Linked DNA regions of Arabidopsis thaliana. The protein of the gene in region 1 binds, or shares a complex with, the protein of each later gene. Each region holds a gene or a part of one and is shown in the gene's direction. Other genes may lie near its edges.

Region 1 (9,324 bases):
GAGAAGGCGAGAATCAGCACTCATCAAATTCCCTTTGTAAAACAGATATAAAAATGAGCAGATCACAGCAACAACTAAAACCAACACATGGAAATGGTAAACAGAGAGCAACAGTCACCTCTGATTCCCATATGCAACTATGTTCTAAGACATATAACAATCACGAAACATAAGGATACAAAACAGAACAGAAATTTGTGATTCGCAAGAAAAATCTTGTCTTTCCATTGATTCACAAGATTGAGATGATCAAAACTAAGAATTAGTAAAATTGATCATAATTACCTGAACAGATGCAATACCCTGATCAGATATTTCAATAGGAGGAAGCCAAGTACTGTAAGAATAATGCCAATTCATACTCAAATTACAAGTCGTCCCTGAAGCGACGATGACAACACCTGTCTCACCAAGCTTAACATAAGATGACGCAACGTCAAGCTCGTATATCGTGAGATTCGAGACAACAACATCGATTCCTCCAAGGAACGGGATTTTCATAGATTTCTCAATTCTGGGAATCTGGAGAGGTATAATCGACGCGATAGCTTTGTTAACTAGAAGATTTTTGACGAAATCGAGTCCGTTTTGAGATACGAGAACCGATGTGAATGAATCGGTGCTCTGCGTTTGTGAAGGCAAGAAGAAGAAACTTGGTAATAGAAGAAAGAGAAAGCATCGTCCAACATCCATGGCGGATATTCAAAGCTTTTTTTGTTTTGGTCTCTCTATCTTCTTCGATGAAGAAAACAGGTTAATACAGTGAAGTTGCGTAATGGTTTGGATTATTGAGAAATGTCTAAAATAACCTTAGTCATTCGATTTGCATTGCCTTCTGGGGTAATCTGATTCAAAAGGAAGTGTTTGGGGTGAATACATAAATTGTTAAAATATTAATGTTTCTGGTCAATCAAAGCTAAAGCTGAGGTCTATAGGGCAATAAAAGTATAAATACATATGTAATTGTATATACTGTACATATTAACGTTTGATATGTATATAAGCTCAAGTGGTGTTAAATATTCTAATATGTGTCTAAGGACAATAGTTCGATTAAAATTGGAAGCTTCGGGGGTAAGAACATAAGTTTTGAAAAGTATTTATCTTTGTGGTAAATCAAAGCTAAAATTGAGGTCTAAAGGGCAAAAGGGTGTCATAATTGGTCTCTCGCGGTGGCTTGGCGACACGGAACAGAGAATTAATCGAGAATCTTTTTCAGCTTGTAACCGGAATTCATGGCGATGCAAGCCGGTGTTCAGACCTCTAAGGTCCTTATCCTACTCGGCGCAGGTCTCTTTCTCACTTTGATGCTTGTTTTATTATCTTTGCTTGTTGTAATCAAATTCGATTCGTATTGCTTTGACTCTCTAATCTAGGGAATTGTTTTATGAAGAGTTAGGGTTTGAATTTATCTTGGCAAATTGATTGATCACTTTGCTAAAATGGTCCAGAACTTCTAATCTTCAATCGTTAGTGTAGTTTTGATGGTAATACAGCTTGGATGTAGCAAGAATGATTTAGTTATTCTAGCTTGGATGTTCCATTTAATGACCTTTAATGACACTTGGTTCTGTTTTCATCATGTCCAAGGTGTATCTGGTTCGATCGTATTGAGACATGGGAGGTTGTCTGACCTAATAGCCCAACTTCAAGACTTACTCAATGGTGCTCAAGGAGTTGAAAGCACTCCTTTTAAGTATGACGGTGCACTCCTTGCTGCTCAGGTATTTCATTTTCTTTTGCTCTGTAAGCTTATTTTTCTCATCGATCCAACATAAACAATCGGAATAGAAAATAATTCATCACTCTTTATCACTAGGCCAATACTGGACTCCCCTCTTAGTGACATAATTTTTGTTGTCTCTTGATAACCAGATTCGACAGCTTGCAAACGAGATCAAAGAACTAACTATGACCAATCCAGTTACCATCTTTAATGGAGATTCAAACTCCAGTGGTATGTACAAGTCTTAGTTTCTCATAAAATATTTATGTACTACTTTTGATAATGTAGGAAATGTTTCAAATATGTTTATTTTTTATGAGAAACAGAGAATGATATAATCTTTGCTTTTGCTCTTGTAGGCTATGCATCTTACCTGGTTCCAGCGGCTGCCGTTGGAGCTATGGGGTACTGCTACATGTGGTGGAAGGTGTTTATCTCTTTAAAATCTGTCTATTTTTCTCTATGTTTCATGTGTCTTTTGTTATAGTTTTGTAACATGTGGTTTACCGGTAAACTATATATCATTGACTTCTAAGGTTTACCCACATTGCAGGGCTGGTCGTTTTCAGATGCAATGTTTGTGACAAAGAAAAATATGGCTGATGCGGTTGCCTCTGTTTCGAAACAACTAGACGATTTGTCAGACACATTAGCGGTGAACAAATAATTTTTTTGAGACCTTCCTCTGTTATATATTCTATTTCATTATGATTTTTTGACCTAGTGCATTTGTTTACGCAGTCAACAAGGAAACATCTTTCTCAGAAGCTAGCGACCTTGGATTGGAAGGTGGAAGAGCAGAATGAGACATCTAAAATGATCTTAAGTGATGTAAGGAACCCGTTTTATTTCTCACTTTCTTGTATTGATGCCTTATTTTTTCCTTAGACTTAAGATTAGGATACTTATACATTCGTCTGAGAGAGATCTCCTCTTGTACATTTAACATCTTAGAAGAATTTAAAACACATTTAGGAATTCCAAAAGATTGTAGAGTATTTATTTATTAACGTCCTATCTCTTTGGCCCTGAACTGTTTTTCTTCACATGTACAGTAGAGTCCTTTGTTTCTTTCAAATTACAGCTTGATTCTCATATCTGCGATTTACTCCATCTATGCCTTTCTTTGATATTCATTTTAATGCTAATGCTCACATGGAATCTTGCTTCAATTCAGGTTACTGAGATGAGATCAAGCATTTCGCAAATTGGGTTTGATTTTAAGCAACTTAATGAAATGATTTCTGGAATAGTAAGTCTCATCATTGCCCTCTAATATGCATCATTGCCCTCTAATATGCATATTTTAAAGGGGCTAATATATCTTTACTCTCTTATATGAAATTTTTACAGGAAGGGAAGATTGAAAGTCTTGAAAGCAAACAAGTAATTTGTCTACAACCATTAGATACTACAAACCACTTCACGCTATCAATTTTCTTAAAACTAATTGATCTCAAACAGATATTTTTTTTGTTAAAATTTTAGGATGTGACCCTCTCTGGACTATGGCATCTATGTCAAGTTGCAGGCGTTAAAGACAGCACAAGTACTAAAGTATTTCAGGTGAGTGTTAACTTACAAATTAAGTGAAACGTTTTCTTACTTATTTTTCACGTAGTTATAGGCCTTAATGAAAAAAATCTTGTTTCTGGCTTTGTGGTTTAGGATGTTGGTGAGAGATTACCTATTGATGGAAAACCATCCACTAATACTTCTCTCTCTGTAAGAATGCTACTATACCTTTTTCCATCATATAAATGTGCATTTCCATTCTGTTGACGCAAAAAAGTTGCTTATAGTGAAAAAATTCAACGAGATGGTTGATCTTGAATTTGCATATATTCAAGGCAATCTCTCATCAAGCTTATTCGAATAAAAATTGGAACCTGAAAATACTTGTGGTAGTAGCTGTTATTTGATGATTTCATGTCATGATGTTTCTTTGGCTTTCTAAAACTATAAAACTATGGAAACTCCAGGGTCTGCGGTTTCTGACGGAAGGCAAAGAGGATGCAAATGTAATACACAAGCCGGTTATGGCGAAAGAAATTATGGTGATGGGGGAAAAAACAAAAGTCACTGCAGCGGGAAGAAGCAGAGTTCATAGAGCGTTTCCAGGTGGAATATCTTGGGTACGGGATGTTTCAGGACTATCCTAATATTATTTTGGTTGATATACAAAGAAATTGCTTGTATTCGTCCCAAATTCTGATACTGGGACTGGCAATTATTTTTTCATGTAAAAAGAAGAAAAATCTACATATGTTATTGCATCCACCAACAATTTGGTTTGCCCCTAATTATATTTGGTCTTGATGTTTGTAAAGAAAGAGTGTGATTAAGGCTTTCACGTATGTTGATGTCTTCATTGATTTGGACTTTTGTGCTCCTTTTTCCTTTTGTGTTTGGATCAATTTTGTTTGTGTAGAAAATAGAAAGAACTACCACAGAAGACAGAACTACTGTCTTGAAACATTTGTTTCGTCCTTTCTCGTAGGATTAATTGTCTTTAGTTGGCAGAGAAATAAAATATTTCGCTCTTATTGGGCCTTGGCCCAAAATAGATATAGAGACAGCCCAAATTTAATTTAACCCGAAATAGTCCAACCGGGTGAATTTGACAGCAATTAAAAAACCCGGCCCGGCTTCTTATATTAACAAGAGGCTTGGCATCGGTTAATCGGAGCTTCTTTCCTCTCAAGTGAAGTGTCTGGATCTTCGTCGCTCAACGCAAATCCCTCTCCGGTTCATGTAAATTTCCAACTTATTTTTGTGCTCGAATTTTGGTTAACGGGACAAATTTCACACTTTTACGGAGTATGGAAGCAGCCTTTGTCTTCTGGGCTGTTGAATTGCGATTCATTGTGTATGCCCAACAATGGTTTAATTGGGAGGTTCCAATGATTTTTTGTGCTTTTTTCTTACTTAATATAACCACTGTTGATGTTTCTTCTGTGTCCTTGTATCGCCACAGTGGATAAGCAGCCTGGGGAAGATGAGCATTGTACCTAAGGAAACGGTTGAGGTAATAGCTCAAAGTATTGGGATTACCAACTTGTTACCTGAAGCTGCTCTTATGCTTGCTCCTGATGTTGAGTATCGTGTCCGAGAGATCATGCAGGTTACCTTCTTTTTCTAATCATGTCTTTGTGTTCTTGAGGTGAGTTTTCTGGTATCAGCATATTGATCTTTCTGTACCTTCTCTTTGGATGTCCTTTCAGGAAGCTATCAAATGCATGCGTCACTCAAAGAGAACGACTTTAACAGCTTCGGATGTAGATGGTGCTCTCAACTTAAGGAACGTTGAGGTACAAACTCGATGACCTATTTCTTACTTCCCATTATCTAGAGTTTTGGTTGTGTAAGCTTCCTGGTTTTTGTAGTTGAGTGACAAAGATATATGGTTTCTAGTTTTGAGGTTTGGCTTTACTGGTGCATATGAATAACACCATCTGTTACACATTGCTTTCACATATTTCACTATTGTAGTCAACTGAATCAAAGGCATCTTTTTGAGAGTGATTATATCTATTGCAGCCGATATATGGATTTGCCTCAGGAGGGCCATTTCGTTTTAGAAAAGCTATTGGACATCGCGATTTGTTCTACACTGATGACAGAGAAGTGGATTTCAAAGATGTAAGATGTTGGAAAAGCTGGCATGTTTTTTTTGTTTCAGTTAAATTCTTCATTTTGGGTTCCTTATGTTTTCAAGAAATGTCATGATTCTAGGTGATCGAAGCCCCGCTGCCAAAAGCTCCCCTTGATACTGAAATTGTTTGTCACTGGCTGGCTATTGAAGGAGTGCAACCAGCTATACCAGAAAATGCTCCTTTAGAAGGTTTGTCTCTCAATCTTATGCCCTGGGCTAGAGTTGTAAAGTCATTATATGAATTTTTCAACATGAAACAAATATTAGTATGTACAATGACGTTTCAGAGGTGTATAAACCTCTTTCTACAGTTACCCCGTGTTAAGTGGTGAGCTTACTGATGTTACTGAAAGATCAAAATACATATTTTCAGATCCATCTGTATTATTGTTTTGCGGATCCGCATGAGCAAGAAATCCTTGTTCTTTCCTATCTTGACTATATTTTTCACTTGTTTGTGTTGTCTCTAGTCATTAGAGCACCTGCAGAAACCAAAATCCATGAACAAAAAGACGGACCTCTTATTGACGTTAGGCTACCAGTGAAGCATGTACTATCTAGGGAACTTCAGGTATATGGTGCAGTCTAAATATCATAGGGTAATATCCTTACATACATAGGACTTATCTGTTGTTCTCTCTTCACAGTTATACTTCCAAAAGATTGCTGAACTTGCAATGAGCAAGTCAAATCCTCCTCTGTATAAAGAAGCATTAGTGAGCTTGGCCTCAGACTCAGGACTTCATCCTCTAGTTCCATATTTTACAAATTTCATTGCTGATGAGGTAACATTATGCACCACCGAGGAACTAGTGTGAACCAATAAGACCCACGTTAAGTTTTTGCAGTTTTAATTTTCTCCACTTGTGCAGGTTTCAAATGGCTTAAATGACTTCCGACTCCTGTTTAATCTAATGCACATTGTTAGAAGTCTTCTACAGAATCCTCACATACACATAGAACCTTATGTAAGTTTTCTCTGGATTATCTTTTGCCACTATCTAAAAAATTGTAGAATCATGTAGCTCCATTTTCTTTAGGCTTCTGATTTGGGTTTCTTCAAGTTCTATATTAGACATATTCTATATAATGGGTATCAAATGGTTAGTGGTAGTGTTTGTCCGAGGTCTGCAAGCTCGAGTGCTTAAGTACTCTCAGTCTGCTTGAAATAACAACAAGTTTTGCCTTTGATCTGTATTGAGATTATGTAAACCAGCCTTGGGATAATGAGTTGGTTGTTTGAGCAATGTTTCATAACCATGAAGCTGAGTGAACTTTTTCTTTTGGTGCCAGCTGCACCAGTTGATGCCATCTGTTGTAACATGCCTTGTATCAAGAAAGCTTGGAAATAGATTTGCTGACAACCACTGGGAACTCAGAGATTTTGCGGCAAATCTGGTTTCACTGATATGTAAAAGGTTCATTATTTCCCTTTCATGTCATGAACTCTGTGTTTGTTTTGGTTGATTGTGGGGATCTATACATGATTTCTTACTGGAGCTAATAATGAAATTCTATAAGGAAATATCATGAGATGATTATCCATAGATGTTCTGCTAAGTTTATCTTGTTTGATCTCTTTACTATTGATATCTACTTCTTTTTTGCTCGAGCTGAAAAACAAATGGTTAGATCTATATTAACAACAATTAGTAATAACTTGCTATAGTCTTCTTCATTATTTAAAAGGGTACATTGTCTCGCACTTTTATTTTACATATCTCACCTTTATATTCTTTTAGCATCTGAAATCCTGTGATTTTAATAAAATCTTGCAGGTATGGAACCGTTTATATAACTCTTCAGTCTCGTCTTACCAGAACTTTAGTCAATGCACTGCTGGACCCAAAGAAGGCTTTGACTCAGCACTATGGTGCGATTCAAGGATTAGCAGCTTTGGGGCACACTGTTGTAAGTCATTCCTTGACCTTTCAGAAAGTTTGTGCATGCTATTTCAGATATCACCGAGAAATAATGTTACCCAGCTTGTCCTTCAATCTAGGGACTTTTCAGAATCTGAGATACAATTTGATTTGCCCATACCATTTTTCCGGGTTTGCTTATTCATTTTATTGGGAAATTAGGACTTTTATCGTCTTAAACGGCTACTCCAGTGAATCAGATACCCCTGCTACCAAAAACTTTAGCACAGCTATCCTGCATTGTTATCTGTTGTCATCTGAATGTCATATATTGTGTAGGTACGCCTTCTTATTCTATCAAATCTCGAACCATATCTAAGTCTTCTCGAACCTGAATTGAATGCTGAGAAGCAAAAAAATCAGATGAAGATCTACGAAGCTTGGCGTGTATATGGAGCCTTGCTGGTTAGTAAACACATCCTTGTAAAATTTCATCTTTGTAGAATTCTCAGTGGACAATCCTTAGATGGACTTGCCCCCTTTTTCTTTTCAGCGTGCTGCAGGCTTGTGTATACATGGCCGGCTTAAAATCTTCCCACCTTTACCATCTCCGTCACCAAGTTTTCTCCATAAGGGAAAGGGAAAGGGAAAGATAATCAGTACTGATCCCCACAAGCGGAAGCTGAGTGTAGATTCTTCAGAAAACCAATCACCGCAGAAAAGATTGATAACCATGGATGGGCCAGATGGTGTACATTCACAAGATCAATCTGGCTCAGCTCCAATGCAAGTAGATAATCCAGTGGAAAATGACAATCCGCCACAAAACTCTGTTCAGCCATCCTCATCAGAACAAGCCTCTGATGCTAACGAATCTGAAAGCAGAAATGGAAAGGTGAAAGAAAGCGGCAGGAGTCGGGCTATTACCATGAAAGCAATCCTTGATCAGATATGGAAAGATGATCTTGATTCCGGACGGCTATTGGTGAAACTGCACGAACTCTATGGTGATAGGATTCTTCCCTTTATCCCTTCTACAGAGATGTCAGTATTCCTCTAACCAATAAGAGGTGAGCTATTCTATTCCCCAACTTCCTGATATTTACCTCATCGATATAAAACTCATGGTTCCAGTCGTGAATGCAATAAATATGTGAAATCAAAAGAATAATGATACTCAATACATTAATGCTAATGAAATAGATGTTTGATGATTTTCAAGCAGAGAAGGAGGCTTGGAGAGATTAAAGCGCCGTCTGGTTGGCATACATAAACTCATTTAGATCCGTGCCATTGTTCTCAGGTCAACTCTTTAGTTCTTCTTTTTAAGCTTGAGGGATTTCAAAGTCCTTAGGAGCCTGCAGAGTGGGTTGAGTTGAATTGAACCGGTTGCAATGTATATATTAAGAGAATTTTAATGATTCCGTAGTGGACTTATTTGTTTACTCTCAAATGTAATCCATGAAATAATTTCTCTTCAAATCTGTATGATCTAGATTGCAATTTTTGATATTGTTGTTTACATGTATGCTCTCTTGCTTATTTACTCTTTACATATAATATCCGTTCATAGATTATATCTATTGTTGATCCTTCTGGTCCGTTGCTAGAAAACTTTTGGGCAAACTACAAGGTTTGGTCTGTATTACATTGACTATAAAGAAGATCTGAAAGACAACAAGATTAATTTATGAGGATCTATAGGAGGATAAGACTGAACAAAAGTTTCGGAGACATTCTTAAGTTAACTATCTTGTATGTAAACAATCAAGTTTGCTACAAACCACAGAACAGCCTAGTAATCTGGTTTACTACAAAAGAAATACCTGTTGATCAAAGCCCAGACCGAAAACTTATGACCATCAGTGCTGTGGCTTATTGCATTCCAGTAAAAGCTTTGGCTATTACCAAGTATAGCTAATGTGCTCGAACAAGAGAGCTTCAGGCATGAACATAATCCTCAAAAATGTTTCACAGAGAGTAATTCCTTTTTGCCAGAACAAGACTATGACCATCATTCGACGATTTCCCCTTCTTCTAAATCTAGTCCATCAGCGATGAAATCAGTATCTAAATTTTGG
Region 2 (7,869 bases), on another chromosome or scaffold:
GTTTGATTTTTATGGTAATTATTTTTAGGCAATCAGAAAAATTGTGTTTTTAAAAAAGCAAGATAGAGAGATATTTTTAAAAAGATATTGTTATTTAAAAACATAAATCAAAATCAAAATTGGGAATTTCTTGTCAGTGAGAGAATAATAGTTTTATATATAAATAAAAAAAATACAGGTCCCATCTCATATGAGTATAGCAAGTTTCACAATCTTCATCATTAAAGAACTCGTGCATCGTTTAGAAGAAAAAAAGTTTTTACCTCTTTTTTAATTCTAAAACAGTATCAAAGTTTTTTACAAGAAAAAGAAAACAATAAAAAACAACAAGGGATAAGAAGGCCGCATTGTCCATTGGCAATCATTCCACTAATCACTATTAACATGAGAAAATAATATTTGTATAGTTTTGTTGTGTGATTGTGTCCCACGTTTCGTCAGCTTCCACTTCGCACCTTTTAGCAGTAGAGGGTACGTTTTCTTTCTGCACGGACAATCACCGCTCGTCGTTTTGTACTATTCGTCCCTACTCCTCTCATACATATAAATGGAAACGTTCAAAAATCTGAATGGCTTAAACAAATTAAGTTCAAAAATTGTTAGACGCTACCTAAACATCAAATATCCTATTGAATATGTATTCTTAGTACTAGTGAAAATCGTGTAAGTGAAGTGTGGGCAAGAGAAAGATGAACTTGTTAGTTGGAAATTAATCGATAGATGTTAGACCGTACCGTGGTGATCGAGGTTACAGACCATGAACCTATGATTTCTCATATCAAACTTACGAGTTCATTACTTCAAAGTACATTTAGTGATGGCTAATTAAAGGGCATTTAGAAAACTAATACGATTTTTTGAAACATGTAACTTTGGTATTATTTAAGCAATATCCATTACGCTCGTTGTTTGCTTTACTAAAGGGCAAGTTTCGTATGAGGCAAGGCCACTTGGATATGAAATACTCCACAAACTTTATTCTACGCATATCAAAATTTTAATTATAAATATAGCATGCCAATCTTTTTCCTAAAACAAATCTCCAATATTTAATTGCAATTTCGGTGGATAATCGGATTCCACTTTTGTACTTGAACGGCCAGTTCTTTCTTACTAGTAACTTTCATTCATGTTTTTTAATGGTTAAATACATTTCAACTATAACAGAAATTGTTGGCAAGAGGCGACCAATCACCAACGAAAGCTCGTGTAGATTACATCCACATAAATAATTATTACATGTATTGCTGTTTATATTCCAACTTTATCATAAGTAATCTAGTTAATTGAAGATTAGCGACAAAAATATGATATTAAATTGGATGGGAGAAAACATATATTTAATTAAGCAAACGAACATATTCGCAACTTGAGTTTTTGGGGGGTGTTTGGTGACGTACAAACTTCTCTTCTTCTAGATAAGGAACTATGCACTACAAATTTTCTTAATTATGCACCACAAATTTTCTAAAGTACGATTAAAAAAGAGGAAATCTAAAGCCAAAGTAGTAATCAACCCTACAACAACACATGAGTCACGACTTTCAGTTAACTACAATTATACAAATATTACTTGATTAAGTGGTGTTATCTTAACTAGTGTAATGTATGTTTGAAATTAATAAAGTCCATCTACAAACCATTTTATCAAAACAAAAAATCCATCAAGCAAATTGAAGCCACTCTTATAGCCGACTAACCGTACCTACAAATTTTCTGTTTCAAACTTATGCATATCTATATGGGTGCTTATGATACTTCCTATTAAATTTAATAAAATTAGTAAAAATTTCCCTACCATATATCATATTATTATTTTTTCGATCCAAGAAAGTTACTTTTTAAAATAGTTTTCTATTTTGTGACACTTCTAAAATATTATAAGTGTATAGCCATTTTTCCCCAAACAAGGAATAGTCTATCAGTCTATACAGTATACACACGATTTATTTGCAAAGAACCTACATACACAATTTCTCTTCTACCATGTTAGATTTTTAGTACTTGTTTTACTAGATTATGTATTTTTGTTTGTCTATCGGTCTTTTAATTTTCACTTGCTGGAGGTAAATAATGAAGGAAGTAGTTAAAAATTGAGATAACATAGTTGTGTAGAAATTAGAATACAGTGCAGAACTTAAAAGTATGGTTACGATCACATTGACAACAGTCGATATTCCATTGAGATCACATGAACATTGCTTCGTTAGAAATGCTCGTCGATCGCCTGAAGTAAACCGATTTGATTGGCCACCATGTTTTGCCTCTTCCTGATTTCATTGATATATTTTATTTTTCTTTACTATTTTAAACAACAAAAAAATTTAGAATCCGTATTCCAAAAGTAAATTAAATTTTTGCATACAATTTTTCTTTTTCTTTAAAATATCTAGGTTTTAATATAATATTCCATAATTTGATGAAAAGAATTAAAGAGAAAGTTCAAATCAATCCATATAGCTTGTCCTAGCCTATAGCCAAAAATATTCCTATGCCGCGATTGAACAACCGTTTTTTAAAAATCGTCAAATTAAATCAAACCTTTTTCCATGACAATGAGACTTGGATATAGTTTACATTAGATTCTGATTGGCCCCTTTGATATAACTAGGTAAACTAGCTTCTTGAATAAACTGTCTCTTATTTTGGTTTTATACAAAAAAAAAAAAGCTTTTGGAAAATGATTTAAATGTAAATACATAATACGTAGCGTCTAAGAAGCATATTTGAGAAAATATGGATTTATTTATCTGGTATTTATCCATTAATTTACCTACAAATGGAATCCACCATTAACCAAAAACAAACAAACAAATGGAATCCCGTGAAATAAAGTATCATCATATACATATCTCTCTTTTATGTTTTTATGGAGAGAATTAGTCCAATCCTTCTTCACTGAATTTACCACCTGCTTCTCGTAGAATATATAAAACTACCCTTAAGTCTTTTTCTAATGACTATGAGTTGACAAATGAGAAAAACAAAAACTGCTTTTGTTGGTCATTAAATATTCCGTCTAGATGGAGTTAGTGCTTTCATTGTCATATTCTTTGTCTCCCATCAAATTAAAGCTCACTATACAGCAGATTGTACAACACTATACACTAAAGTTACATTTTTGAGATTTTATTGATTGACAATTTCGTTTCGATATTCTTAGATACACTAAACTCAAATATTGATTTTATGGGAAGAGAATAAAAAATGGATTGTGAAAAAGGAAAAAAAAAAACCTAAATTTGGGCCATATGTGAAGAATACTTCCTTAAGTTTGGGCCATAGTTTAAATCAATAGGCCCATTAGTCTATCTAACGATTCTTTCTCAACTCTTAAAAATCTGACCGGCGGAGATGGCTCTGAGTTGGACCAGTCGGAGGATTAGGGTTTCAACGGAGACTCACTAGTCGATCTCCGATCCTTTCTTCTACCCGCCCGAAATCCGTCGAAACTTCTCTTCTTTACCATTGATTTGCCTCGTCTCAGCTCAATTCTCTTCCGTTGCTGCTTCGTTTAGGTTCGCATTATCGCTTACTTTATTGAATTTTTCCTCTATGTCTCTGGTTTCAATTTCAGCTCAATTTTGTCTTTTTTTCGGTTGAATTTTCTCTTGGGTGGTATCGAATTTTGCTCATGAATGCTGTTTCTTGATGAATCAGAGCCCTCTTAGTTTACTTCACGTCGTTCAATTCAAAACTTGGTGTGGTCTTTTGCAACACAAATCAGGAATAGTTCGTTACTTAGAAACAATAATGTCATACGAGAAGACAAATCTGGAACAGAGAATTAGTAAATTGAGCTGGAAAGTTTCAGTAGTCAAAATTCTCGTAAAACTTATTTTGGTATAATTGTGTCATGAGTCATGACATTCTTTCTTAGGTTTCGTACAAGTTTCTAATTTGAGGTAGATACTAGTTCAGAGGTTCTTTATTAATGTTTGATTTTGAAAACCTTTCTTTACTTACAGTTGTTGCTTCGCTTCAGTACTCTGGTGGTGGGAGAGATGAATCACGGCCAACAATCTGGTGAGGCAAAGCATGAAGATGATGCTGCTCTTACAGAGTTCCTTGCTTCTCTGATGGATTATACTCCTACTGTATACTTTCCTTTGTACTAGTTACAACTTTTTCTCGGCTCTACATGACTGAAATTTGGGTATTGATTGAGTTCTGGATTTTTATTTTTCTTTCAGATTCCTGATGATTTAGTGGAGCACTACTTGGCTAAGAGTGGATTTCAGTGCCCCGACGTACGATTGTAGGTATTTCCGACAAGTTATATCTGATACTTACAATGAAAGAGCAGATAAGTTGATATTGAATGGAATCATTGTTGGGTCTTAGAATGGGTGACCAGTAGTTAGATCAATGGCTTGGTTTAAATCATTTTGGATTAAGGTTTTGCCCTGTTTAACATTCCTGTAAAATGGTATGATAAAGAAGTCTATGTTGGACTAGCACTGAAAAAGATTGGCAATTTGAATGTAAACTTCAGAGTTCAGTTTGAATGCGTAGAATAATGAGGGGATTCTTCTCTTTCTATCAAATTGAGTGCTGAATATTGGTATATTTTAGTTTTTGAGTTTTTCACTCCTGTCATAATCTTTTCCTGTATCTATTCTTGCCAATATTCTGTTTTTTTGTTTACTTGTTTGACAGGATAAGGCTAGTTGCTGTGGCTACACAAAAGTTTGTTGCAGATGTTGCCAGTGACGCCCTTCAGTAAGTTTTCATTCTCTTCACAACGAATTATCATACCCTTTTTCATATTTGACTTGTAATTGAGAAAGAGAAGACACTGCCCATTCTGAGTAGATGAGATGAAAAGATGTCTACGCTAGATTTTCCCAGAAGCTAAAAGCATTGATATAAGCTCCTGAATAATAAAAATTGTCAATTATATACAGGCATTGCAAGGCTAGACCAGCACCAGTTGTGAAAGACAAAAAACAGCAAAAGGTAACATCTGACTCCCTTTTGTTTTTTTTCCCTCTGCAAGACTGCAACAAATATGTTTTGGATGATGACATGAATATTAATGTTTCCTTAACAGGATAAGCGTTTGGTATTGACAATGGAAGATCTTTCAAAAGCTTTGCGTGAGGTAAATGCTTCTTCCTCTAAGTTCATGCTTCTGGTATTGTTGTCCCTCAGACCTCCAATGTATGAGAAGAAAATGTAGATGTCTCTTGTTTTTTTTTACTTAAGCTGCAAATTACTCTAAATACACATGGCATGAAACTAATTCAGTATCACAGAATCAACATAAAATGCTTAGAAACATGTTTTAGAGTTAGTGGTTATAATATTGTGTATTGCAGTAGTGTAGGTAGATAGGTAAGGTTTTACAGTCTCGTCTTAACTAGTAGTGGGAAGCTAACTCGTGAGTAAACTCGGTTTGGCAGTATGGTGTGAACGTGAAGCATCCAGAATATTTTGCTGATAGCCCTTCGACTGGAATGGACCCTGCAACAAGGGACGAATAGAAACCAGGAATTCCTCAAAATCTTTGCCTAGTAAGGACGGTCATGTGTCTCAGATCCCTGATTCTCTGTTGTGTTTCAGTTAAAAACAAAACTCACTTGTCTTGCTAGTCCTCAATTACTACATTACATGTATATTCGTTTGTTGTTTGTTCTCTGGTGATTTTTGGGGTTCTACATCACTTATCCACCATTCTTGCAAGTCTCCAAGTCGTGAAAATAAGATAAGTATCCATCCTTGTGATTAACTGGATACTGTAGGATTGAAAAACCACAAAGTATATTTTCCATCTAGCAATGATGAACCTAAGTGCTTCTGATCTAACTTGAAACATTGCCACACTCTGTTGTATACCTTTAGACAATCCCCCTTTGTAACCGCGGCATCTCAATAATAAAGTTACTTTTTGGAATTTAGCAATTGAAAAAAGCTGTTCTGTTTTGTTTTTTCACTTTCTCATGTCCGAATATTCTTTACCTAGAAATACATGAAAGAAGACAACAATCTGAAAAATCTAGTAACCTTTCGTCAGCTTTTACAACGCTACATTGAAGACAAGAACACATTGGTTTTTTCATCACAAAGAAAGTTGAAGATTCTTGAGTTTTTTTCCTCCTGAATTGTTTGAAATGGTGAATCCTCCACTTCAGTCTCCGACCAATCCGCATTTCTTCCAGCCACTACTTCCCGGTTTCGAGTGTCACCTCGTACACACTCTCTCTGTCTCTCTCTGTTTCTGTCTTTCTTTCAGAGTCGGTTTTGTTTTAAATGTTTTGAGGCTGAAAAGTTAAGGTAAGTTTCAAGTTTTTTATATGACATAGGTACTTGTGGTTTCTGAGCACATTCTCCTTATATGTATACAGGACCATAAACGTTGTCTGGAATGATTCTATATGCCGACTTTTTGTCTGTAATATGTAAAGTCTCTGTCCAATTTCTTCTCGCATGACTTAGCTAAAATATCTTGGTTTTACAGGAGAAAGAGTTTCTATACTAATACAAAATGGTTGAAGAAGCATGCAAAGTTGGTGGATTTTAAGACTTCTGAGTTCCATTAATTTGATACTATTGACGACAATCTTCAAAGTCGGTTTTGGCTCGCCGGGAAAAGATGCACATATGGTCAAGTCTCGTTGTAACTTGGAAAAGGTTAGGAGTTAGTAAGTGTGTGTTTAAAGGATTGCACTAGAATCAGTGAGCTGTGATGATACAAAGGTAACTTTGGCTACATGAAGAAGATAAAGAAAAAAGTTCAAAGATTTTTAGCCGTTAATGGGATCAATGTCCTCTTCCCTGGGTTGTATTAACACCTGAGGACATGTTGATCTCACACGGCTAATGTATGATTCACCATCACTTTCCATGAACTTTAACCACATCTCCTTCATTCGTTTGCCACGGTAGAATTCGTCATTCAAAATAATCCGATTCTGAATCAAGAAACAGATCACAAACTTCAACAAGGCAAGGGTACAGACAGTGGCTGCAGCAACAAATAGAAGCAAGAAACTATCGAGGCTGAGCTTTCGGAAGGAGACTGTTGGGTTTGGGTCAGGGTTGTTCATTGGATCAGGACAAGTTTTGTCTATGTTCTTGAACCACGCAGTTTCAAGTTGAGTTGCTTTGTTAGACTCTGCCACTTTCAAAATGGCCCTTGATACATCGGCTACTAGAGGCGATCCAATTGGGAAGACCTACAGAATCGAAACTAGTTATATGCATCATTAAAAGGAAGGATTGTATGCAAGCCAAAGAGAAGTGATGGAACTTACAAAGCCAAACCCGTCAACATCAAATGGCACCTCCACCATTTTATATTTCTTGCAATATTGTCCAAGAAAAACTCTCACGTATGGTACTTCCATGAAGGCTGCAGAAACACCACCCTTTGATGGTCCCTTGTTCAGAAGTTCTTCACATTTCTCTGGAGAGGTAAATGGCACGAGTCTGGACTCAGGGAAGCCCGATTCTCTCAGTTTCCCCAGTACGAATGAATCTCTCTGATATGCCACAGGTCCTCCTTTTGCAAGCACGTTCTTGATGCTCGTTTCAGTTGGATTGAGCTGTTGTGTTGTGAGAAGCGATGACAAACTGGCAGTATAACTCTGAGTCAGCACAAGAACAATGAAGTACCAAGTGATAACCACAACCCTTGCTGTAAAGCTCATTACTCTTTCTCCTGTAAAAACATAACTTTTGAGAGTAAACTTATGGAAACAGACTCGTTGCCTACAGAGAGTACTAGAGGGAAAGCGAACATACTGGGTGCAAAAACCATGATGGAGAAGGCAAACCAGAACATAGTGCTGATCTGGTACTGGGGAGGTCCAGTGAATTCAGAGTTCACCCTATGTTCAAGAATCCACACAACAAAACCAACAACAA
Region 3 (6,830 bases), 820 kb from region 1:
TCCTGTTGCTCTTTCTCAGTGGTTAGATGAGATTTCTCGGTTGACATCCCCGGGAAGCACCAGGGTTCTTCAATACCATGGGCCGAAGAGAGACAAGAATGTTCAAAAGTTAATGAATTACGACTTTGTTTTGACAACATCTCCCATAGTTGAGAATGAATATAGGAAGGATGAAGGAGTGGACGAAACAATGTCTCCTTTACACTCTATTAAGTGGAATCGTATCATCGTCGATGAGGTCAGTACCAAGACCTGCTGGTTCTTCTTCTTTTCCATTTTCAAGCATGTAAGGAAAGGGGACTGTGAGATTTATTGTACAGTAAACCACAGCAGGGGAAGCTCACTGCAAATTTGCTTTTTGTGAATCTTTTATCCTTCAGGGGAAGCTCACTGCAAATTTGATATAATTCCCGTTTGTCTTCATATCAGGCTCATGATATCAAAAACAGAAGTAGTCGCACTGCCAAAGCTGTTTTTGCTTTGGAGGCGACCTACAGATGGGCTCTGAGTGGTACCCCTCTCCAGAATGATGTTGACGAGCTCTACTCCCTGGTTAGTTACTCTTTCCTCAACTTTTTCTATAGCACGTAATGATATCTCAACATTGCTGATTGTTTGTCCCAGATACGCTTCCTTCGCGTTTCGCCATACTCATATTACTTTTGCAAGAAATGTGACTGTGAAGTTCTTGATCGGAGGTAACATCTTACCACTCTCAATTCCTGGTTACTTTCTCCTTTCCCATACTTCTGTTTGATAGTTCATAACAATCTTTGCTGTTTCATTTCCTTTGTCCATTGCCTTTGGGCTTTGGCGGTGACTGCAGTGCGCATCGAAAATGTCCCAGCTGTCCTCATAATGCAAATCAACACATCTCTTGGTGGAAAGAGGTAACTTTGAGGTGCCATTATTAAAAACATTTTAAAAGCAGGATCACCATTATGTTCTTTGGTTTTTATATTTTCCAATCTTGCTAGAATGTGGACAAACGGAGAAACAGAGCCTGTATATTCCTTAAACAAAATGTTCTAAAGGACATTCTACTAAGACGTACTAAATTGGGCCGGGCAGCTGACCTTGCTCTTCCTTCTAGAATCGTATGTTCCTTTCTCTCCCTTGTCTGATATAAATGAAGCTTGGTATAGTTGCTTCCGAGCTTGATCTCTACATATAAATTTAGATCTCTCTGAGGCGAGATGCACTAAGTGTAGTAGAAGCTGATTTCTATGAATCACTATACAAAGTTAGCAAGACAACATTTGATGGGTAAGTTACTTTTGTTCTATGGATTTTCACTGGTTTCTGCTCCATGCTTTGTGTAAACTGAATTTTATTATTAAATCTGACATGTACATTTGTTTCTGCAGGTATATTCAGGCTGGGACATTGATGAATAACTATGCACATATATTTGGTCTTCTTATCCGACTGAGACAAGTGAGTGGTATCGATAGTTTTGTTGTTCTATTTACAAGCCAGTGCATGTTTTGGATGATATAGGTATATAGATTTCTGATGCATTTTCTTGCAATTTTTTCAGGCTGTTGATCATCCATACCTGGTGAGTTATTCTAGTCCTAGTGGCGCTAACGCTAACTTGCTTGATGCGAACAAAAATGAGAAAGAATGTGGTTTCGGCCATGACCCTTCCAAGGACTACTTTGTAAGTGTTCCAGTCGATATATTGTTGCTATTTCATACTATCTCGACTCTTGTTTCTCAGTAACTGTATCTTCTGGAAATAGCTGCCACCATTTTACACTTTCTTAAAGAATCATCGGATGACTAATGTTGGACTTAACTTGTTCGGTTAATATGTCTTTGGTTCTCTTACTTTGAAGGTGACTTCTAGTGAACATCAGGCAAGCAAGACAAAGCTTAAAGGATTTAGAGCCTCTAGCATTTTAAATCGGATAAACCTCGATGATTTTAAAACAAGTACAAAGATTGAGGCTTTGGTATGTGCCCTTTGAGATCTACAGCTTCTGTCTCTCCCACGCTTAAAGTTTCTTTGGAGATTGGAGGCTTTATCTAACCATTTGGTGATAAAAAAAATTTGTATGCAGAGAGAAGAAATCAGGTTCATGGTTGAAAGAGATTGGTCTGCCAAAGCAATAGTATTCAGCCAGTTCACATCATTCTTGGACCTGATAAGTTACGCCTTGGGGAAGGTAATTTCAAGCGCAACCAACTACAAAATGCTACTACTACTATATCTGTGCTCCTTTAACATTCTCTTTAATCATAATGAGACATTGAATAAAAATGATTGACTCATTTTGTACAACGCAGTCTGGGGTTAGCTGTGTTCAACTGGTGGGAAGCATGTCCAAGGCAGCTAAAGATGCTGCACTCAAAAATTTTAAAGAAGAGCCAGATTGCAGAGTTTTATTAATGAGCTTGCAAGCTGGAGGGGTTGCTCTAAATCTAACAGCCGCTTCGCATGTAAGAAGTGTACAACTTATAAAACAGTTGCTCCTAGAACATGTTTTATTCACTGACATTCGGGTGTTTGATTGTATAGGTGTTCATGATGGACCCGTGGTGGAACCCAGCGGTTGAGAGGCAAGCACAGGACAGAATACATAGGATCGGACAGTGCAAGCCTGTCAGGTTATATTTTTGAGTTGTCCTTCAATATACTGTATGTTGTTTTGGTGGGGGAAGAAAGAAGAAACATTTGGTTGTGTGACAGGGTTGTAAGATTCATAATGGAGAAAACAGTAGAGGAAAAGATACTAACGCTTCAAAAGAAGAAGGAAGATTTGTTTGAAAGGTTTCTTATTTTAAACGATACGCTTCTCTCAACTTTGCTGGTTTCTTATTGTCAACTGTATGAAGCCTATATGAAGACATATTTGCTTTGTTACAGTACGTTAGGTGACTCTGAAGAGGCCGTTGTACAAAAGCTGGGAGAAGACGATATCAAGTCCCTGTTCGCATAACCAAATCTTGTAGATGAAGAACATGATAGAAAATTTGTATAGATAGAAAAAAGAGTCTTGACAGGACAAAATTAGGCTCAAGCTAAAAGATTTGATACATACTTGTGTAATATGATGAGCACCGGATAGATTGTATATGAATCGGATCACAAACTTTTCCTTCTCCCGAAGAATATTGAGCATGAGGCCATGGCCGGTTTGAGCCATACCGTGAGAACTTAGTTACAATGTCGGTCGACTAGTGTACGGGTTTCTGGTTTAGATTATGGGCTGGTTTAATATAAATGGGCCTATTTATTAAGCCCAATTACTTCGTATGTAATGCAATGTGCTTCTTCTACGAGAGAGAGAGAGATCAGTGAACAAGTCCCCGTTTCTTCGTTCTCATCATCTTCATCGCCGATTTTGCAACGACCACCTCTGCTACTCCCGTCGATCAATCTACGGTGAGCTCTCTGCTCTCACTATTCCCTTTTCAATTTTCATTCCTTTTCCATGACGACAAATATTTGGATAAAGAACCTTATTCGATTTAACTCCGTTGGTTGTTGTACTGTACCGGAATACAACTTTCCGGTAGCTCTCTGGTTTTGATTGCGGTAGAAATCTAGAATATAGGCTCGGAATTTCATTTTCTAGTTGAGATTACACTGTTTTTTCTTTTTTGAAAATTTTCACCTAGGGTTAGTATTTGACTCAATTGGATTTTGTCGGTAGAGGAATTTCACTTATTTTTCTATTATTTTGCTCTCCTGGATTTTGATTATCAGAAGAAGAAGAAGAGATGAGTAACACACCAGCAGCGGCGGCGTCATCATCGTCTAAATCGAAAGCTGCGGGAACTTCTCAGCCACAGGAAAAGCGCAAAACTCTCTTTCAAAAAGAATGTAAAGTCTTTAGTTAAAACCAGATTTTTGTATTCTTCATTTTGTGATTCTTCTGGTAACAATGGTTTTGGTGCTTTTGTTGATTTTTCAGTGCAGCATATGATGTATGGATTTGGCGACGAGCAAAACGTAAGCCGCTATCCTCTTCATTACTATTTTGTTGCCATATGAACCGTATTTGTAGATATAGTTTCATTCCAATACAAGTAACGAATTAGGTAGAGAATCTTTGCTTTAAAGGGTTCTTGGTCGTGTAACATCTTTTAGTGTTTTACCACCTGAAACTGATCCAAAACTCCTCTGTATTTAGCCTCTTCCAGAGTCTGTGGCGCTTGTAGAAGACATTGTTGTGGAATACGTCACAGATTTGGTAGTGAGCTTTTTCTTTTTGTGAATGATTCATGTTTTACATTACAAGCGGAGAGATATTAGCTAACAAGTGATGTTTCAATGGCAGACACATAAAGCTCAAGAAATTGGTTCAAAGCGAGGAAGACTTCTAGTTGATGATTTCTTGTATCTTATCCGCAAGGTAAAAATTCTTTTTAAAAAGTACACAATCGATGATTGAGATGGTTTATGGTTTTGTATTCTATATCCGAAACTTTGGCGTCTTTGATTTATGCAGGATTTGCCAAAACTGAACCGCTGTAGAGAACTGTTGGCGATGCAGGAAGAGCTGAAACAAGCACGCAAAGCTTTTGATGTCGACGAAAAGGAACTCGTTGATTGATCTTGCTTTTCCTCAACGGGAGGAACAAATGCTAGGTAAGAGGAACCTCATGGATGCCGGACTAGGGACAGCGTTTTAGGTTGTAATCAGAATTCGAAGCACAGTAGCAAAAAAAAAGTGTGTTGACTTAAAAAAGGTGAAAAAAAATCTTGCACAAGGCCGACTCATATTAAATGTAGGCCCATTAGAAGAAAGCCCATTATCTAGCATCCCGTATATATCTACGGACGACCTTTAATTTTTCTTGAGTCAGGAATTTCGAAACCCTAAAAATTTAGAATAACCACCCGATTTTTGTTTCTTTCATTAAATTAATTACCGCAATAATTATAAAATTAGTCATCATTATAAGACTTTTGTTTTTCTCTAAATTTTTCGTCATCTTTCTGATATTTTGATTCATTATTTTACCATGGAAACAATAAATAAGAATGGTGATCAATTACCAACTAAAGAAAATCATTGTGATCAATTAGAGATAGAGCAAATAAACAACACGAGCATGAAGAAGAAAAAGTCATCACGTGGGATGCACATGTTCTCCGTCGTCATGTTCATGCTTCGTCGCCGCCGGGGAGAAAACCCTTCAACACCAGGTTCTGGCGGCGAGTCGTTAAGTCCGTACGTAAACTCCGTTTCGAAATTACGATAATGCCATCGTCAACTTTTACTAACACAATTGTTCTCCCTCCGGCTCCTCCTCCTCTGCCAGCGACAGAAATGGGAGGAGACGATGGTGATAATGATAATGAAGATGATGATGATTCCGAGGGTCGTTTATCAGAGACTATGGAGGTTTTCACGGCGGCTTCATCTTCATCATCATCAGGAATCTCGGGATATGGATCAGCCATGTCCTTATATGATGATGATATTGATGAGGAAGAAGATGAATGTTATAGTGATGTGGAAGGAGGAGACGATATGATTGATGAGAAAGCTGAGGTTCTATGCAATAATGAAGATGCAAAATCAGGTTTACACTGATCGTTGCAAAGCCAAAGGGATATATAGTGATGCATTAATGATCTTATTAATTATGGTTCGTATCATCTATCAAGTTTACGTCATCATCATTCAGGTTTTAATTTCTTGGTCATTTTTGGTTTTTGTATTATAATTTAATTTAATTCCTTTTAACTTTTTCTTCATTTTTGTTTCTGTAATTAGTGAGTGTATTTGAATTCATTAATGAGAAAATAGGAGAATGAAGTATATCTACTAAATTCTATTTGTGTTTGTGGGGAATGTTAAATTTGGTTTGCAGATTAAAGATCTCGTTAAATATTTTATGTTCAATGTTTTCAATCGGAAATTGGTCATATTAATAGCACATTTGACCAATTCATTGAATCGAGTTCTTTTCGAAAATTGAAGACTTTGATAATACCAACCGTTTATATTATGCATGGACATATGCGTAAGTGAAAAATCATACTGAGCGATGGTAACAATTACACAGTTGATTCCATTTCGTGAAAAACTCATAGAAACAACGGTGACAAATGAAGTTTCCATAGCCAAGAATTGGATCCTCGCCATACGATTAACCTACCGAGATGAACCAACGGTGATCATCTCTCTAAACTCCAAGACCAATCCTCAAGATGATGCAAAAATCTCGACTCTTCAACTATGCATCAAAACCAAATGCCTCATACTCCAACTACTTCATATGAAACAAAATACCAATCTCGGCGAATGCCTTAGTGATCTATTTCGTGATGAGAGGTTTGTTTTTGTAGGAATAGGTATTGCTAAAACTGTCGCTAAGCTCGGTGGGCTAGTTAGAGTAGTGGTTAAGAAAGTTGACGTTCGTGATCTGGTAAAGGTAAATTTTCCATTTAGTTATGGTGAGAGGTCAAGGGTTAGCTTGAAGGGTATGGCTTGTGAGTTGTTGGGATTTGGTTCGTGGAAACCGAAGAGGGAGATTTGTCCGAGAGACTTGGCTAATGAAGTTCTTGATGTAGAGGTGGTTAAGTTCTTGTCCGTTGATGCTTATGTTTGTCATGAAATAGCGTTTAAGATGCTTAAATACCAGGCCCAATTTATTGTAATCAGATTCATAAAACATTACTTTACTGAGCAAACGTTGGGCCGATATTGGGCTAATTTATATAATAAAGCCTCTTTATTAAAGTCAAAAGACAGGTCAGCATTAGTAATCACTATATTACTAAAATCGCGCTATACCTTTTGTAGACGTTGCGATTTCAAATTCAAAAGTTGTGGCAATATCGTGATTAATACTAAAGCCTAAGCCCA
Region 4 (6,456 bases), on another chromosome or scaffold:
CAATGAGCTTACAGGCTCTGTTCCTCGAGAGTTAGGGAACATGACAAGCCTCAAGACTCTTGATCTCTCCAACAACTTTCTTGAAGGAGAGATTCCTCTAGAGCTATCTGGACTTCAAAAGCTTCAGTTGTTTAACCTCTTCTTCAACAGACTACACGGCGAGATCCCTGAGTTCGTATCTGAGCTTCCTGATCTGCAAATACTCAAGCTTTGGCACAACAATTTCACCGGAAAGATTCCTTCGAAACTCGGATCAAACGGGAACTTGATCGAGATCGATTTGTCTACCAATAAACTCACAGGTTTGATCCCTGAGTCACTCTGTTTCGGAAGAAGACTAAAGATTCTCATTCTCTTCAACAACTTCTTGTTCGGTCCTCTCCCTGAAGATCTTGGCCAATGTGAACCGCTATGGAGATTCCGTCTCGGACAGAACTTTCTGACAAGTAAGTTGCCAAAGGGTTTGATTTATTTGCCGAATCTTTCGCTTCTTGAGCTTCAAAACAACTTTTTGACTGGAGAAATCCCCGAAGAAGAGGCGGGAAATGCGCAGTTTTCGAGCCTTACTCAGATCAATCTGTCCAACAACAGGTTATCCGGACCGATTCCTGGTTCAATCAGAAACCTCAGAAGCCTTCAGATTCTTCTTCTCGGTGCAAACCGGTTATCGGGACAGATCCCTGGCGAAATCGGAAGTTTGAAGAGTCTTCTCAAGATTGACATGAGCAGAAACAACTTCTCAGGCAAGTTTCCTCCTGAGTTTGGTGATTGCATGTCACTCACATATTTAGATTTGAGTCACAACCAGATTTCCGGTCAGATTCCGGTTCAGATATCGCAGATTCGGATTCTAAACTATCTGAATGTTTCTTGGAATTCCTTTAACCAAAGCCTTCCCAACGAACTCGGATACATGAAGAGTTTAACATCAGCAGATTTCTCACACAACAACTTCTCCGGTTCAGTACCAACTTCAGGGCAATTCTCTTACTTCAACAACACGTCATTCCTTGGAAACCCTTTTCTCTGTGGATTTTCTTCAAACCCTTGCAACGGTTCCCAAAACCAATCTCAATCTCAGCTACTTAACCAGAACAACGCAAGATCCCGAGGTGAAATCTCCGCAAAATTCAAGTTGTTCTTCGGGTTAGGCCTACTAGGGTTTTTCTTGGTGTTCGTCGTTTTAGCTGTGGTCAAGAATAGGAGAATGAGAAAGAACAACCCGAATTTATGGAAGCTTATAGGGTTTCAGAAGCTCGGTTTCAGAAGCGAACACATATTAGAATGTGTTAAAGAGAACCATGTGATTGGGAAAGGCGGACGAGGGATTGTCTACAAAGGGGTAATGCCAAACGGAGAAGAAGTTGCAGTCAAGAAGCTCTTAACCATAACCAAAGGATCATCTCATGACAACGGTTTAGCCGCAGAGATTCAGACATTAGGTAGAATCAGACACAGAAACATAGTGAGATTGCTCGCTTTTTGTTCAAACAAAGACGTGAATCTCCTTGTTTACGAGTATATGCCTAATGGTAGCCTCGGAGAAGTCTTGCACGGGAAAGCTGGAGTGTTTTTGAAATGGGAAACACGGTTGCAAATAGCGTTGGAAGCGGCTAAGGGGTTGTGTTATCTTCACCATGATTGCTCGCCACTTATAATCCACCGTGATGTGAAGTCAAACAACATCTTGTTGGGTCCTGAGTTTGAAGCTCATGTTGCTGATTTTGGGCTTGCTAAGTTTATGATGCAAGACAATGGAGCTTCCGAGTGCATGTCCTCGATCGCTGGCTCGTACGGCTACATCGCTCCAGGTACATGACTGATTCCTAATACTACTTTCTTGTATCACACGTAACATTCAAACTTAGGATTTCAGTACTTCTAGTTAAAACGTATGATTGATCTTAGCCCATTTTATCCGTTTCTTGAATGCAGAATATGCATATACACTGAGAATAGACGAGAAGAGCGATGTGTACAGCTTCGGAGTAGTGTTATTGGAGCTGATTACGGGTCGAAAACCAGTAGATAATTTTGGGGAAGAAGGGATAGACATTGTGCAATGGTCAAAGATCCAAACAAACTGTAACAGACAAGGTGTGGTGAAGATCATTGACCAGAGATTGAGCAATATTCCATTAGCAGAGGCCATGGAACTGTTCTTTGTGGCAATGCTATGTGTGCAAGAACATAGTGTTGAGAGACCGACCATGAGAGAGGTTGTCCAGATGATCTCTCAGGCTAAACAGCCTAATACTTTCTAAATGCAGTGATGTTATATATATAAGAGACTAAATATATATTTTTCTGTTTTATGTGTTTCATAGAGTTTTGTTTTTAGAATTTGTAATGATGGTTTGGTGGTGATATGAGTTTATATTGAAATTGAGGAGGAAAAAAAGGGTTAGCATTATATCTTCCTATCATAAAGTATCAAGCAAAACTAAATAACATTTGCTAGAAAATTATGAATTATGTGAAAGATTTGAAAAAATAGATAACTGTTCTTTGATTCATTTGGAATTATAAAAATCATGATGACCAAAGAAAAATGTTGAAATCACTCAAGCATTTGATTTAACATATGATTATCCAATATCTATAGAAATAGTTAGCATTTGAGTGTTTTTACTTTTTAGTATCCAATTCACTATCATTGATATTTTTAATTTTGTTGTCTAGCTCGATTTATAACATTTGGCTAGTTGTAAATCGTTATCCCAACATTGTATTCCAAAAAAAAAAACCAGTTAGTTATTCAGTGGTTTTGAACTGAGCCCAGCCCAAATCCAATGATGTGGTTCTCGAAACTTTTTGGGTTGGTTTAACAAAAACCGGTTCAGATCTTTTCTTTTGATCCACCAATTGATTGGACTAAACCGACTTATAACAGTCGCTACACTCCTATAGAAAAGCTTGAAATTGAACACAGTCGATGAATTTTCCTCTCCGCCTGGAAGATTGTGGAGCTCCCAGTTGTTGTTAACAACGGTCTAGAGATTCGTGTCTCTTGAAATTCGATCTGAGTTTCACCTTCAAGGTTCGTCAATGATCCGTAGCAATTTGCTTCGTTCTAAACCCTAATTTGAGATCTCAATTATGTGATTTTTTCGTTTAGGTTTTAATCAGGAATGAAGCATTCAAAGGATCCGTTTGAAGCAGCGATTGAGGAAGAGCAAGAGGAATCGCCACCGGAATCACCCGTTGGCGGAGGAGGAGGAGGTGATGGTAGTGAAGACGGACGAATTGAAATCGACCAGACTCAAGATGAAGATGAGAGACCTGTGGATGTTCGCCGTCCGATGAAGAAAGCTAAAACCTCTGTTGTTGTTACTGAAGCTAAGAACAAAGATAAAGATGAAGATGATGAAGAAGAGGAAGAGAATATGGATGTTGAGCTTACTAAATATCCAACTAGTTCTGATCCTGCTAAAATGGCCAAAATGCAGTGAGTCTTTGTAGAATTTTGATTGTTCTTCATGTTTCTTTGATGATTGATTGTTTGTTGAATTCTTCAGAACCATATTATCGCAATTCACTGAGGATCAGATGAGTAGATATGAATCTTTTAGGAGATCTGCACTTCAAAGACCACAGATGAAGAAGGTATATATGTTATATGATTTGTGGTTATCAACATTCTTAATTTTGTTTCATTGCAAATATGAACCATTTAGCTTTTATGTTAATGCAGTTATTGATAGGTGTCACTGGTAGTCAGAAGATTGGTATGCCAATGATTATTGTTGCGTGTGGTATTGCAAAGATGTTCGTTGGTGAACTCGTTGAAACAGGTAAGCCAGTGCAAAAATTTCCAATGATTTTGTTTATGTGCCAACAAAGCTCATTTACTGAACCTCAATACATTATCTGTAGCTCGAGTTGTTATGGCGGAAAGGAAAGAATCAGGACCTATCAGACCTTGTCATATCAGGGAGTCTTATCGGAGACTAAAGCTCGAAGGAAAAGTGCCTAAAAGATCAGTTCCACGCCTTTTCCGCTAGTCAACAAGAGCCAAAAGAGAACTTATATCAGCCTAAGACTGGGGAATTTACCAATGCTGCTCAAGGATAAGGGTCTACGGCAGGTTTAAGCTGGCGAGATTTGCCTATCAATCTCATCATAAAGGAGAACTTCTTTGGCTTCCCTGGTGGATCATATTGTTCTTTGATGTTCTTAACTTTGTGTGACAACTTTTGTAGTAAATCAATCTTTGGATACAGACCCTGAAATGGCTATCAGTCTTACGGTTTGGTTTTTATTTGGTTTACGTTTCCAGTTTTCATTTTCAATACAAGATCAATCTTTGACTACAGACCACATGGCCTAAAAGTGGCAATCCGGTTTACTAGGTTGGATTCGGTTTCATTTCCGGTTTTATAGAATTCGAAATCAAATAAAATCATTTGTAATCCGGTTTATTTGGTTAAATTTGGCTATACCTAAAAATTGGTTTTAGTATTGATTCGTTTTTGGTCGAACATTACAAGAACTGGGTTTATAAGTTCAAATTCAAATTGTGTATTTCTTCGGCGTGATTGAAAACCGTCGCGATCAGAATTCGGTCTACTGTCAAAATTGGTACGGAGACGTTTTGAATCACACAAGTTCCGGCGAAAGAGGATCTAGTGGGCCTGATAATGGGCCGATCTCGAAACGAACTATTACGTGAAGAGAAGAAAACAAAGTGGGTTGCGAATTGAAAGTCTACAGAAAATAAAAGGACTGGATTGGAAAAATAAAAAGAATAAAAGAAGTTTTGACACAATAACGCACCCACTATCTTTCTCCTTCCCTTCCGCCTTCCTTCTTCTTCTTCTTCTTCTTCATCCTCCTCACTGTTTAACGCAGAGCGCCTCCGTTTCTTCTCTTCTCCTCCTCTCTCTTTTCTCTCTACACAAATATTTTTCCCTTCTTTTTTCATTCTCTTTATTCAATATAATCCTTTTGATTCGCTGGTGATCGGTACGAGAAACTTAGAATCACACGAGGAAGCTGTGTTTCGTTTATCCTCGTTTAATCGGAATCGAAATTTGTTCTGGAGAAGAAATTTAACGAATCATAGATTCCTGATACAAAAAAAAAACTATCACAGATCGGAATCGGAAACGTAACCATTACATAATTCGAATCTGGTTTTCACTTGGGTATAATGATGAGGTTTCTCTTCTTCTTCTTCTCCGTTCTTCTTCTCTCTGTGTTTTTTCCATCTTCTCTGAGTTTTTCTATTTTCCACTGATTTGGTTTTCTGTTGTTTTCTGGATTTCTAATTAGTTTCTATGGATCTGAGTTTGATTGTAAAAAAACTTGAGATTGACTCTAATGTCAAAAACTTTTGATCTCCTCCAGATTTCGTCTTCTTTGGATTCACCAGTTTTTAACTAATCTCAATTTGATCCAATAACCAAATTGTTTTTCGCCTTTTGAACAAAAACAAAATAATCTCAGAGCTTCTCCGTCAAATTCTGATTTGGGTTATTTTCAATTAAAACTCAGAAGAATTTTGAGAAGATTAACTCTAAAATCTCGCATAAAACACAGACACATTTTTACAATTTTTCACAGTTCAATCTTCCTTTTCGTTTTCATGATTTTGATCTAATTATTTTTGTGTTTTTGATTAGGTATCAGAGAGTAAGCCCAGATTGTCTTCCTCTCACAAATGGAGGTAAGAAGCCTTACTTACGACCATCACCATCAAGAGCAACAAACGAAGACACCACCACCACCACCGTCATTACCACAACCTCAATCGCCGGAAGAGGATTTAACGGCGGATCATGCACAACCACCACCAACAACACCTCATCTCTAGACGGAGTCCCCAAAGGATTCCGATTCAGATCCACTCAACAGCAGCAACAACAACAAGATCCTAGTCCTAGCCGTCGCGGCGGTGATGTACTGTTACAGTGGGGACAACGAAAACGATCGAGAGCCTCTAGAGCTGAGATCCGATCCACCACCACCATCACAACCACCGCCGATGATTCTTCGTCTTCTTCAGGTCAAGGTAAGATACAATCAAACAAACCGCAAAGAAGATCGATGAATCCTTCTATGCCACCTCCACCACCAGCTCCGCCGATTTTCTCGGGCCGGAGTACAAACCCTAGAAACGGTTTCGTTATCGGCAAGGAATCTTTCTTCCCTTCCAGGTTTAGCCTCAAATCTTTCTTCATTCAATTAAATTTCCATATTTTGATATATTTACTTACCTTAAATGTTTTAGAATCGAGTTTGATTTGTCTTTTTTTACCTTTAATCGTTTAGATTTTGTTACTGTAAATTAATCCATATGATCGTGACTTCATTAGCTTCCATATATTTCTCTTTTTGTTCATCCATGTTATGTGATAAATAATGTGCCCTTGTTTTTATTTTTATATAAAGTAAAGCTATTTTTGATTTTCAAGGTTTGATATATTCAATTTAAATGATTTTCGTTTTCTGGTT

What was found.
Region 2: TAFII59 (region 1) and TAFII15 share a complex: the UniProt entries of both Arabidopsis thaliana proteins name them as parts of the TFIID complex.
Region 3: TAFII59 (region 1) and TAF13 share a complex: the UniProt entries of both Arabidopsis thaliana proteins name them as parts of the TFIID complex.
Region 4: TAFII59 (region 1) and TAF11 share a complex: the UniProt entries of both Arabidopsis thaliana proteins name them as parts of the TFIID complex.

Annotation. Positions count from the first base shown.
Region 1 is NC_003070.9:1,402,585-1,411,908, reverse strand, and holds TAFII59 (TATA BOX ASSOCIATED FACTOR II 59), read left to right. Parts: upstream 1-4,377; 5' UTR 4,378-4,480; exon of another isoform or gene 4,481-4,703; 5' UTR 4,704-4,724; coding exon 4,725-4,850; intron 4,851-4,950; coding exon 4,951-5,037; intron 5,038-5,266; coding exon 5,267-5,368; intron 5,369-5,461; coding exon 5,462-5,570; intron 5,571-5,851; coding exon 5,852-5,952; intron 5,953-6,028; coding exon 6,029-6,166; intron 6,167-6,253; coding exon 6,254-6,349; intron 6,350-6,674; coding exon 6,675-6,799; intron 6,800-7,159; coding exon 7,160-7,292; intron 7,293-7,582; coding exon 7,583-7,708; intron 7,709-7,796; coding exon 7,797-8,303; 3' UTR 8,304-8,313; intron 8,314-8,468; 3' UTR 8,469-8,824; downstream 8,825-9,324. Other genes in the region: AT1G04970 (lipid-binding serum glycoprotein family protein), read right to left, coding at 286-693; AT1G04960 (golgin family A protein (DUF1664)), read left to right, coding at 1,485-1,724, 1,876-1,957, 2,086-2,153, 2,280-2,381, 2,468-2,557, 2,904-2,978, 3,080-3,112, 3,215-3,292 and 2 more; AT1G04945 (HIT-type Zinc finger family protein), read right to left, coding at 9,258-9,324. UniProt on the Arabidopsis thaliana protein: TAFs are components of the transcription factor IID (TFIID) complex that is essential for mediating regulation of RNA polymerase transcription. Required for proper pollen function. May stabilize the interaction of TFIID with selected promoters.
Region 2 is NC_003075.7:15,351,840-15,359,708, reverse strand, and holds TAFII15 (TBP-associated factor II 15), read left to right. Parts: upstream 1-3,277; 5' UTR 3,278-3,518; intron 3,519-3,538; exon of another isoform or gene 3,539-3,905; intron 3,906-3,968; exon of another isoform or gene 3,969-3,985; 5' UTR 3,986-4,004; coding exon 4,005-4,097; intron 4,098-4,193; coding exon 4,194-4,258; intron 4,259-4,659; coding exon 4,660-4,722; intron 4,723-4,907; coding exon 4,908-4,959; intron 4,960-5,053; coding exon 5,054-5,104; intron 5,105-5,405; coding exon 5,406-5,486; 3' UTR 5,487-5,662; coding exon of another isoform or gene 5,663-5,738; 3' UTR 5,739-5,789; coding exon of another isoform or gene 5,790-5,870; 3' UTR 5,871-5,913; downstream 5,914-7,869. Other genes in the region: AT4G31715 (uncharacterized protein), read right to left, coding at 5,663-5,738, 5,790-5,870, 6,007-6,050; GLR2.4 (glutamate receptor 2.4), read right to left, coding at 6,747-7,178, 7,257-7,663, 7,747-7,869. UniProt on the Arabidopsis thaliana protein: TAFs are components of the transcription factor IID (TFIID) complex that is essential for mediating regulation of RNA polymerase transcription.
Region 3 is NC_003070.9:577,355-584,184, forward strand, and holds TAF13 (TBP-associated factor 13), read left to right. Parts: upstream 1-3,270; 5' UTR 3,271-3,391; intron 3,392-3,715; 5' UTR 3,716-3,729; coding exon 3,730-3,832; intron 3,833-3,923; coding exon 3,924-3,961; intron 3,962-4,142; coding exon 4,143-4,202; intron 4,203-4,289; coding exon 4,290-4,364; intron 4,365-4,460; coding exon 4,461-4,565; 3' UTR 4,566-4,956; downstream 4,957-6,830. Other genes in the region: AT1G02670 (P-loop containing nucleoside triphosphate hydrolases superfamily protein), read left to right, coding at 1-238, 430-552, 625-698, 827-890, 978-1,097, 1,181-1,266, 1,368-1,437, 1,541-1,663 and 6 more. UniProt on the Arabidopsis thaliana protein: TAFs are components of the transcription factor IID (TFIID) complex that is essential for mediating regulation of RNA polymerase transcription. May be involved in polycomb repressive complex 2 (PRC2) mediated repression.
Region 4 is NC_003075.7:10,950,661-10,957,116, forward strand, and holds TAF11 (TBP-associated factor 11), read left to right. Parts: upstream 1-2,879; 5' UTR 2,880-3,040; intron 3,041-3,118; 5' UTR 3,119-3,131; coding exon 3,132-3,448; intron 3,449-3,518; coding exon 3,519-3,606; intron 3,607-3,694; coding exon 3,695-3,794; intron 3,795-3,876; coding exon 3,877-4,004; 3' UTR 4,005-4,416; downstream 4,417-6,456. Other genes in the region: BAM3 (Leucine-rich receptor-like protein kinase family protein), read left to right, coding at 1-1,811, 1,936-2,264; AT4G20290 (uncharacterized protein), read right to left, coding at 4,499-4,924; AT4G20300 (Serine/Threonine-kinase, putative (DUF1639)), read left to right, coding at 5,153-5,160, 5,625-6,158. UniProt on the Arabidopsis thaliana protein: TAFs are components of the transcription factor IID (TFIID) complex that is essential for mediating regulation of RNA polymerase transcription.